Drosophila melanogaster: one gene and its partner. The protein of the gene in region 2 purifies or fractionates together with the protein of the main gene of each other region. This does not show direct contact. Each region holds a gene or a part of one and is shown on either strand. Other genes may lie near its edges.

Region 1 (5,068 bases), on a different chromosome or scaffold from region 2:
ATAGCCAACATCCAATCTAATCCAATCCTAAACATTTATCCGGCATCCACAAAGCGGCGCAGCGGCAGTTAAATTGCGAAACCAAACCTATAGTATCAGTTCATTTATAGCCATTTTTAATGTTCTAATCTACTCTGAAATTGTTTTATTCCGAAAATCCAAATTGAAACGGTTTGATTTATGGCCGCCTTAAACAACAAATTATTAATTACAAATAGTAGAACTGTTACGCTGTGCAAGAAATGGAACATTGCGAAACATAAACTAATAATATTTGAATTAAAAACGAAAAAACAAAGAAAAACAAACGGATATTAGTTATTATTTATCTACCAACAAATCTATCCAACTAAATGAAAAAGTAAAAAAAAAAAATAAAAAACATAACGATATATTAATGAAATCTACAACTCATACACATAAAATAGGAGTTTAGCGAACACTAATATTTAAGGCAAAAGGATATATAATAATAATGATCAAAAGGCGAGATGTGAGGTTAGCTAGCGAGTAAGCAAAATCAAATCCATGAGTTTTCGCCAGATATATCTGCGCCCCATCCCCCCAAGTGTTCCTTTTCAGCGTTTCGTGTCATGTCTTTTGTTTTTATTATACACCTGCGTTATATTTTGATGGTTTTCCATATAGCAATATCCAAATCATTTTCCAAACGCCCCATTTTCTTTTTTGCTGTCCATGCATTCAGTTTTCCCTTTTCAGTTTAGTTGTAGTCTAATTCGAACCAAACAAAAAACAATGGATGTGTAAAAAGTGATGAGACTATTGATTTTTGTAATGAGTTGAACTCCAATAAATGGCGTTGATTAACCCGAATGCAAAACAGCACACGTTCCAAGGCTTTTTCACTTTTTGATAGTAAAATTCATGCTACAATTTATTATTAAATGCAGAAACTCGTACATAATTGTGTGTAAGCGGAAAACCGCCATCGAATTTGGCATCGTTTACAGCTCCTCGTGGCGCGAAGGGAACTTCTTGAGTATGGCATGGTAGAGACTGTAGAAGGCGTACACCGAAACCGTGATGATCACCAGCAGAGCTCCGCCGAACGCGATGCTCAGGAAGTTTCCATCGATGATGCCCGCCGAGCGGTGGCGCTTGGTGGAGAATATCTCCTCCGTGGTCGCCGGGTTGTTTTGCTGCTGGGACGTCCGCTCGGCCATCAGCCGCTTCATGGTGCTCAGCCGCTCCCGCAGAACTTCCACGGACTCGGTGTCCAGGTCAGAGGTTCCTAGAGCGATTTTGTTTACTTTCTGTTCTCATTAAAATGAATATATGTTATTAATACCTGTCGACTGGGATGCGGAAGCACTGGGATAGGTAGACATATTTGGATCTCTGTTCTGTGCTATTTGTGAAAAAACTGCAGCTTGAGCTGGCCAAAAACAGAGTTATCTTAAACGTTTTGGGGTGGGTTTGTTAGATTTTCGAGTTTTAAAAGCGCAGGCGCGTAACGGAAATCGCGCGGCGTTGCCACCCAATCGCGCTGCCAACTGCTTTGATTTGCGAAGAACAAATCGATAGAAACGGCTGGCAATCGATTGGGAACCATCTCCAAACACGTGAAACGCGATTTTTGATTTACCTTATGTGTTTTGAATGCTGCAATGGGTTTAACTAAACAATATTTGGCCTACCGGGCTATAGACAGCTTTAATATCATCACCTCCGGCCGCGCCAATGTGAACTTTGCCGTTGTGGACAAGACAGAGGGTCGATATGTGGCCGCTCCAGCTGCTGAAAATGTGATCGTGTGGGATTTGCGGTAAGGCTATTTAAGCTTTTCCTTTACTTCGTTTTTAAACTGACATGAATTTATATTTCCCCAGAATGGGCGATCGCAAGCTGACGCTGCGCCGCGAAAAGTTCGAGGTCACCTCCCTGAGGGTCTCGCCAGATCACCTGCACATTGCCGTTGGCTATGCGGATGGCATGGTGCAGATCTTCGATCTCAGCTCGGACAGGTACTACGATCCCATCTGTACGCTGGCACTCCACAAGAACGCTGTTAGCATCCTGCGGTACGATTTGCAGGGCATGCGTCTGGTGAGCGGAGGCCTGGACACCGAATTGGTGGTCGTCGATGTGGTGGAGCAGGCGGGAAGAGCTCGATTGAGTGGCCACAATGCCGCCATCACGGACGCCCATTTCCTGCAGCGTCTGGTAGACGAGAGCATAGTGGTAAGCTGTTCGAAGGACACGCAGATCAAGTTCTGGAACCTGGAGACGCAGTTCTGCTTCAAGACAATCGTGGATAACCGCACCGAAGTCTGGGCACTGGCCTTTATTGGGAATCTAATGGTAGCTGGCGCCGGCGAAAGCGGCATGAATGTCTACCGCCTGAGAAAGCACGACGGTGCCATCACTGAAACTCTGGAGTCTGCAGTTGAAGGCCTGTCTATTGATGACGAGGACACCATCAGCCCCATTAGCGTGAGCAACTGCGGCACCATCCAGCGCGCTGGAAAGGGCCGCACCGTCAACCTGGTGACCGATCCCAGTGAACGCGTGATCAGCTGCCACGGCACTAATGATCTAATCGAGAACTTCTACATCTGCACGCCGGACGAGGTAAAGAAACGACTGGCTAAGCGTCTAAAGAAGGAGAAAAAGGTCGCCGAAGATGAGGGATCAGACGAAGCAAAACTGTCCACGGAACAATCGCTGAGCGATGAAATCAAGCGACTGGAAAGCATTCGTGCCAAGCAAAAGATCAAGTCCATAGATGTGGTTTTGGGCCAGAACCAGGAGCTGCGTGTCCTTGTTAGTTTGGCCAACAACAGTCTGTGCTTGTACTCGCTGGAGGCGTCTATCAAAACGCGCAAAGCAACCGATCCCAGCGCGAAACTACTTAGGTCACTTACTCGTCTGGGGCACCAGTCCGAAGTGCGATCCGTATGCTTCAGCAACGATTCCCTGGCCATTGGTTCCGGAGCTGGAGAATCCTTTAAGTTCTGGGATCGAGATGCCATGCAGTGCCTGCGTACTGTGCCAACGGACTACATCCTCTGTTCGAAGTTTGTTCCCGGCGATCGCTACGTCCTTCTGGGCATGAAGAGTGGCAAATTGCTCATTGTGGACGTGGCAGCGGCTGATATAGTGGAGGAGATTCCGGCTCACGAAGGCGAACTTTGGTCCATTGCCATACTGCCCGATCAAAAGGGTTGCGTCACTGGCAGCGGCGATACCACGGTTAAGATCTGGACATTCGAGCTGATCGATGCCGGCGAGGGTGCTGCCCAAACCAAGGTGCTGTCCCTGCTGCACAAAAACACACTGAAGCTGGAGGAGACCGTGCTCTGTTTGGCCGTTAGTCCGGACATGAAGTACCTGGCTGTGGGCTTGTTGGACGCCACCGTGAAGGTTTTCTTCCTGGACACCTTTAAGTTCTACCTATCACTGTACGGCCACAAGTTACCTGTGATCTGCCTGGACATCTCCTACGACTCCAATCTCATTGTAACAGGATCAGCAGATCGTAACGTAAAAGTTTGGGGCTTAAATTTCGGAGACTGTCATCGTTCCATTTTTGCACACGACGATTCGGTAATGAGTGTACAGTTTATACCCAGGACGCACATGTTCTTCACGTGTGGAAAGGATGGAAAGGTGAAGCAGTGGGATGGCGATAACTTCGAGAAGATTCTTACCTTACCTGGACACATAGGCGAAGCGTATTGTCTGTCCGTTTCTCCGAATGGCCGATATTTGGTCACCTGCGGATCAGATCGAACTCTTAGAATGTTCGAGCGAACAGATGAGACTATTGTGTTGAAGGATGTGCAGGAGGAGGAGCGAGAGCAAATGGAGAATGAGCAACTGGCCACGGGCGAGGACAACACAGTTCCCTTGCTTCCGGGTCTGAAGATGCCGTCACGCAAAACAGTGGGTTCCGAGCAGTCTGCTGAATCGATACTCGAATGTCTGGAGATATCCAAACAGTTCGAGCTCGAGGCGGAGGAGAAACCCGAGTTACATCCTCTGATGCAGGCTTTGCAGGTTAAGAATCCCGAAGACTTCCTGGTCAGCACCCTGATGAGGATACGTGCGTCCGATCTGGAGGAGGCACTTCTTCTACTCCCCTTCTCCACTGTGTGCGAAGTCCTCGAACGCCTGCCCACTCTGCTGACCCAGCGACCCGACCAACTGGAGCTGCTTTGCCGCGTCACCATCTTCCTGTTCAAGGTGCACATGAAGCCCATTTCGGCGGCTAAGAACATGAAGCCGCTGCTCGTCAAGCTGCTCTCGATGCTCAAGCGGGACGTTGGTCAGCTGCGCGATGTCTTAGGATGGAACCTGCACGGTCTGGCCCTGCTGCAAACGGAAGTGGAGCAGCGCGATGGTGTCCAGCTCTTCAGGGAGGCCACACAGACCCGCAAGAAACGGGATAAGAAGCGGAGAGAAGCCAGCAAGCGGAGGCTGCAGATTCAAATGGTTTGAGACGCAATACCCTAGACTTAGTTGTATAAATCCAATTAAAACGATTAGTTATTCCGTGATTTACTGGATTTCTATATTTCTGTGAACAGAGTTTAATTTGACAATGAGGAATACACCATAATTCATAAGCCATGTATTGGATCACCGGCAATTTTCTGTATATGCATATGGGATTGACAAAATCGGATAAAAGCGATGGTGCAGCGAAGCAAACGGATAGCGCCGCTCGATTAATGGATGCAGTTCGCAAAGCGAACCCTTTGACAAGCATTTACAACAGAAAACAACATATCTCTTTAGAAGACGTGGACTGAAAGATTTAGCTTGAACATAAAACGTAGAACTCGGGATGAGCTTGGGAGACGGATTCTTCAGAGCAACCATAATGTATTTCCAGGCTAACAAATGCCGGCTTTGGGAAAGGTGCCATCGTTAGCGCCAGTTCCACAAGGACCTGTTTGGGATTATGCATTTTTTTTTATAAATGCTAGGAAGTAAATCTGGTGATAACCTACCTCCGCAGCGCTGGAAGGCACCTGGCGGTCCGTAGCTAAGTTTCTGGATGGTACACTTCTCAATAGGTCCGGTTGGCCGGCAGTAGGATGTG
Region 2 (4,694 bases):
ATTGCCAACGGAACGAAGCTGGAGGGCGAGGACCTCATTATGATTATCGAATAGACAGTGCCACCGGATCAAAATGTCCATTGTCTAAGCTGCCACCGCACACACCCAATGTAAAATTAAGTGAAAACAGTGATAATCTTAGGGACTCTGTCAGTTCGATTGATCATAAAACTGTCCAAAGTCGCCTGTGTCTATTTTTATATGAATCAAAATCATTCATGTTTCCGTGTTTCCAGGATCAATCGACCATGAGTAACTGGTCAAATTTTTTAGCTGTCCCTGCCAAAATATATCGGATTGCATAAGTTCGTGCCCAAGTATATTTGTAAATTTGTCGTAGGGCTTTTCCCGCAAGTCATTTGAATCAAATTTGTACGATTATGGAATTTTTAATTCGCAAACACCTGTGTCGAGATTCCCCCTCTAGTAAATACGTAAGTGGTTATTAATGTTATATTAACTATTGTGTAATAAACGTTATACAAAATAAAAAGTAACGCCCTGGTTTTTGTAGTGTGAAATTGGTGATTAAACATCTCGAAACAAATATGTAATGTATGGTTATCTACTTTATTTTTTTCCTAAAATTAATTAAACTGAATTAAGTTAACAATCATGAATGAAACGGCTCCGAAGCTAAAGCCTACATGCACTTGACAATGAACTCTAGGAAAGCCAGATCCTTGTTCAGCTCGGTGACCCGCTTAAAGTGTCTCTGGACGTACGGAGTGAGTACCTCGACCATGTTGCCATTGTAGTAGAACCTCGCCTTGGGATCCAGAAGAGCATCTCCGATCAAGTACTTGAGGATCATGTTGCCCGCCTGCGAATGGCGCGAGTTGGTGGTCCATGCCTTGACGTGCTGCAGCAGCGCAACCCGCTGGTCAACGTTCAACTGGTCAACCAATTGCCGGAGACCGGGCTCATCTCGCTTGCGGACAAAGTGGTTGATAATATCGAAACTGGCTTTGGGCTTGTCCAGGTTCAGAGCCAACACGAAGGCCTTGTGAAGCTGCTTCTGGGCGTGCAGAAGGGAATGTAGGGTCTGCTCCTGCTCCAATGCGGCCTGCCGCTTGTCCAGCGCTTCGTTTCGCGTCACCTGAGTGACATCACCGAAGCGAATCAGCTTGGAGTCCGCGCCGCCGGTGTAAAAGAACCGATTGCTCCTGGCGGATACGGCCAGCGCCCAAACCCTATCGTTGTGCTCGTCCAGGGACTGCAGACATGTGTTGGTCTTGATATTCCACAGCTTAAGAAGGCCATCCGAAGCAGCGGAGATAATGAACTTGCCGTGATCCAGGAACTCGGCTCTCAGTATGGTGCACTCCTGATCGAAACGTTTTATGCACGAAAAATTGCTGATGGACCAGATGCGGAGAGTACAGTCCGACGATGAGGTGAGCACGATCTGATCCACCGGAGAGAAGCGCACACTCCACACACCGCGGGTGTGTCCCCGCAACACTCCTTGCAGCGTGTTGGACTCCGCCAGCCACACCTTAGCCGTCTTGTCTTGCGACGCGGTAGCAATAAGCTTGTTATTCGGAGCATATGCAACGCAGTTCACCTCCTTGTCGTGGGAAAGCGCTGCGTAGCGCAGGTTGAAAGAGTACGAGTTGCGATCCTCCTTACTTCTGACGAGCTGCCATACCTTCATGCTGCCATCTTGGCTCACGGATGCAAAGCCAGTAGCTCCGTTGTGCGTCATGGCCACGCAACCGATAGTGGACGTGTGGCAGTTGGCCTGTTGAGTCAGAGCCTCAAGCGAGCAATCTTTGTCGTGCTGAAGCCTCCAAAGCCGAACGCTGCAGTCCTTTCCCACCGAAATCAGCAGATTTTGGGATGCAGCAAGGGACATTACCGTATCCGAGTGACCCACGATCAGCTTGCAATTCATGTCGTGTTCCGTGTCGTACAGCTTGAAGTGCTTGCTGTTGGTGGCAACGGCCAGGTAGCGATCGTGTTCGCCCATAAAGCACATGTCTAGGATCTCGTCGTTGTAACCCACCAAGTGTTTAATGGGTTCCAGGGTTTCAACGTCGTAGACCAAAATATTCTGCTCTGTAGTGACCAGGGCCAGCTGTTTTAGCTCGCTGCAGTGCAGCAGTCTACTAATTTGGAAATCAGATTGAGAAAGAATATCCCTGATCTTCCAAGATTTAGGGTCGACCTGTTGCAGCTTGCCCGATCCGCTCGCCACGATTATCAGTTGTCCCTCGTCTGCGTACACGACTCCCTCAAGCTCATCGTACAAGGGAAGAACCTTCAACTGCTTGCTTTCCAACTGCTCCTGCAATTGCCACACGATCATAACCTTGTCCCGGCTTACAGTCACGATTTCATTGCAGTCGGACGCGTTGCTCTTAAAGCTCAAGCCGGTGACTTGCGACAGGTGACCTCGCATCTTGTGCACAAGTGTCTTCGTCTCGTAGTTCCAGGCATAGACAGTGTTATCCGAACCTCCGGCGTAGATCTCTTTGCGCAGCACATTGGGATGAAAGACGAGGAGCCAAGCGGGACCAGGGAAATCCTTGAGGGCACCCAGACAGCTGTTGTTCGAGTAGTCCCACAGCCTCAGTGTGGCATCTGCACCGCCGCTGGTGCAGATAAGCCTGCCGCAGGGACTAAACTCAACTCGGATGACTGGTCCCTTGTGCTGCGCCTTCCACAGCTTCACCAGCTTCCCAGTGTCCAGCTGCCACAGCCTAAGCAGGCCACTTCGATGGGCAGTAACCAGATGCTCCTGTGACAGCCCGAAGCAAGTAATCGTATCCTCCTCCACATCGATATTGTCCAGCTCCGCCGGCCTCTTGTTATCCGCCGACGGGGAAGACAAGCCGTAGCTATTTAGGATTTGGGAGGTCTGCACATCCACCTGGTTTACAGCTGAGCCATTGAGGCAGTAAAGATGATGGCCATTCGGGCTCCAGGCGATGTCGCCGCCGGCGTAGAAGTTCGTGTAGCGGGCCTCCGCCGCATAGCTGGATTTTAAAATTGTTGTAGTCTTGCAATCATCAGGTAATTATTAAGTTTATGTTACCTTTTCTCGCTGATACCCGCCAGCATGATTTTCGTTGTTTATAAATACAAAAACCGCGTGCGCCGCGGATCAGAACATGAACGGAACTAGTTCGAAATGTTACTTTACAGAGCATGTAAGGGGATATTCGAAATGTATAAGTAGAAAAGAAAAGAATGATATTAACTTCAACTGTGCTAAATAAATAAAGTACCATGAATTGGTGATTTATTTTTAATCATTCGAATTTTATCTGAAAAAATCGCGATTGGTATACGATTGGTTTTTATTGACGATAGTCGTTCCGAAACTATCGAACCTCCTTGACCGATAGGCCCCTTTGTTTTGTCCACCACTAGCCAAGTAAAAGCCGTCAAATCATCGTCGCATTCGACCCAAGGAATTAAACTAATTTTTGCGTTTGAATTGTTTAAATTTTCACAAAGTCTTCGCTATGAGTACTATTGGCACTGGAGTAAGTGGTCAGCGAACTACATATCTGCAGATCCCTAACGTCACCCTCTCGCTTCCAGTACGACTTGTCGGCCTCGCAGTTTTCGCCTGATGGCCGCGTTTTCCAGATCGACTACGCCTCAAAGGCGGTGGAGAAGAGCGGCACCGTAATCGGGATTCGGGGCAAGGACGCCGTGGTGCTGGCCGTGGAGAAGATCATCACCAGTAAACTGTACGAACCAGACGCCGGCGGACGCATCTTCACCATCGAAAAGAACATCGGAATGGCGGTGGCCGGCTTGGTGGCCGATGGAAACTTTGTGGCTGACATTGCGCGTCAGGAGGCAGCCAACTACAGACAGCAATTTGAGCAGGCTATCCCGCTTAAACACCTGTGCCACCGAGTCGCCGGCTACGTTCACGCCTACACTCTGTACAGTGCCGTCCGCCCCTTCGGACTTTCCATCATTCTCGCCTCCTGGGACGAAGTAGAGGGGCCACAGCTCTACAAGATCGAGCCGTCCGGCTCCTCCTTCGGTTACTTCGCCTGCGCCAGCGGCAAGGCCAAGCAGCTGGCCAAGACTGAGATGGAGAAGCTCAAGATGGATATGAGGACCGACGAATTGGTGGAGAGCGCTGGTGAAATGTACGTTTACAGCAAAAAAAAGGGACTGTTTCAAAAATCGGGCGGGCTTTATCCTAGTTCCGAGTGGAAACTTACTTGCTCTGACAATAGGAAGCATTTTTGGGACATCTATTGCACTTAGAATCTAGGTTTTTATTCATAATTAACATATCTATCCTATGTCTTAGCATCTACAAAGTCCATGACGAGTTGAAGGACAAGGACTTCCGCTTCGAAATGGGTTTGGTGGGCAGGGTAACCGGTGGCCTACATCTCATAAATCCCTCAGAACTGACGGAGAAGGCGAGGAAAGCCGGCGATGCGGCCAACAAGGACGAAGACAGCGACAATGAGACGCACTAGTTCGTTTGTGTGCCAGTGAATCTAATTCTGGGCCTCATACATAATGTTAATTTTATATTTCCCTAAAGCGCAAAATGAATAAACAAAATCGGGTGAAATTTAAGGTTTTTATATTTTTATACTCTCATTCTTTAATAGTTATCGTTCGATATAAATATATTGGCTCGCTGGTTATCGGATCTGGTTCCTTTTGAATGTGCCTGCAGCTATTAAACCTCGATTGCTACAAAGAAA

What was found. Proteins that work in one complex are often made in the same cells at the same time.
Region 1: the proteins of CG1671 (region 2) and CG8064 purify together in Drosophila melanogaster (affinity purification with mass spectrometry, with the first as the bait; one large-scale study listed by BioGRID). This does not show direct contact.

What each region holds. Positions count from the first base shown.
Region 1 is NT_033777.3:18,282,106-18,287,173, forward strand, and holds CG8064 (uncharacterized protein), read left to right. Parts: upstream 1-1,554; 5' UTR 1,555-1,628; coding exon 1,629-1,786; intron 1,787-1,850; coding exon 1,851-4,461; 3' UTR 4,462-4,519; downstream 4,520-5,068. Other genes in the region: CG14312 (uncharacterized protein), read right to left, coding at 966-1,252, 1,310-1,349; CG7131 (uncharacterized protein), read right to left, coding at 4,860-4,915, 4,977-5,068.
Region 2 is NT_033778.4:9,846,497-9,851,190, reverse strand, and holds CG1671 (uncharacterized protein), read right to left. Parts: upstream 3,131-4,694; 5' UTR 3,067-3,130; coding exon 3,041-3,066; intron 2,982-3,040; coding exon 644-2,981; 3' UTR 549-643; downstream 1-548. Other genes in the region: PCB (pyruvate carboxylase), read left to right, coding at 1-54; Prosalpha7 (proteasome alpha7 subunit), read left to right, coding at 3,474-3,494, 3,553-4,118, 4,286-4,460.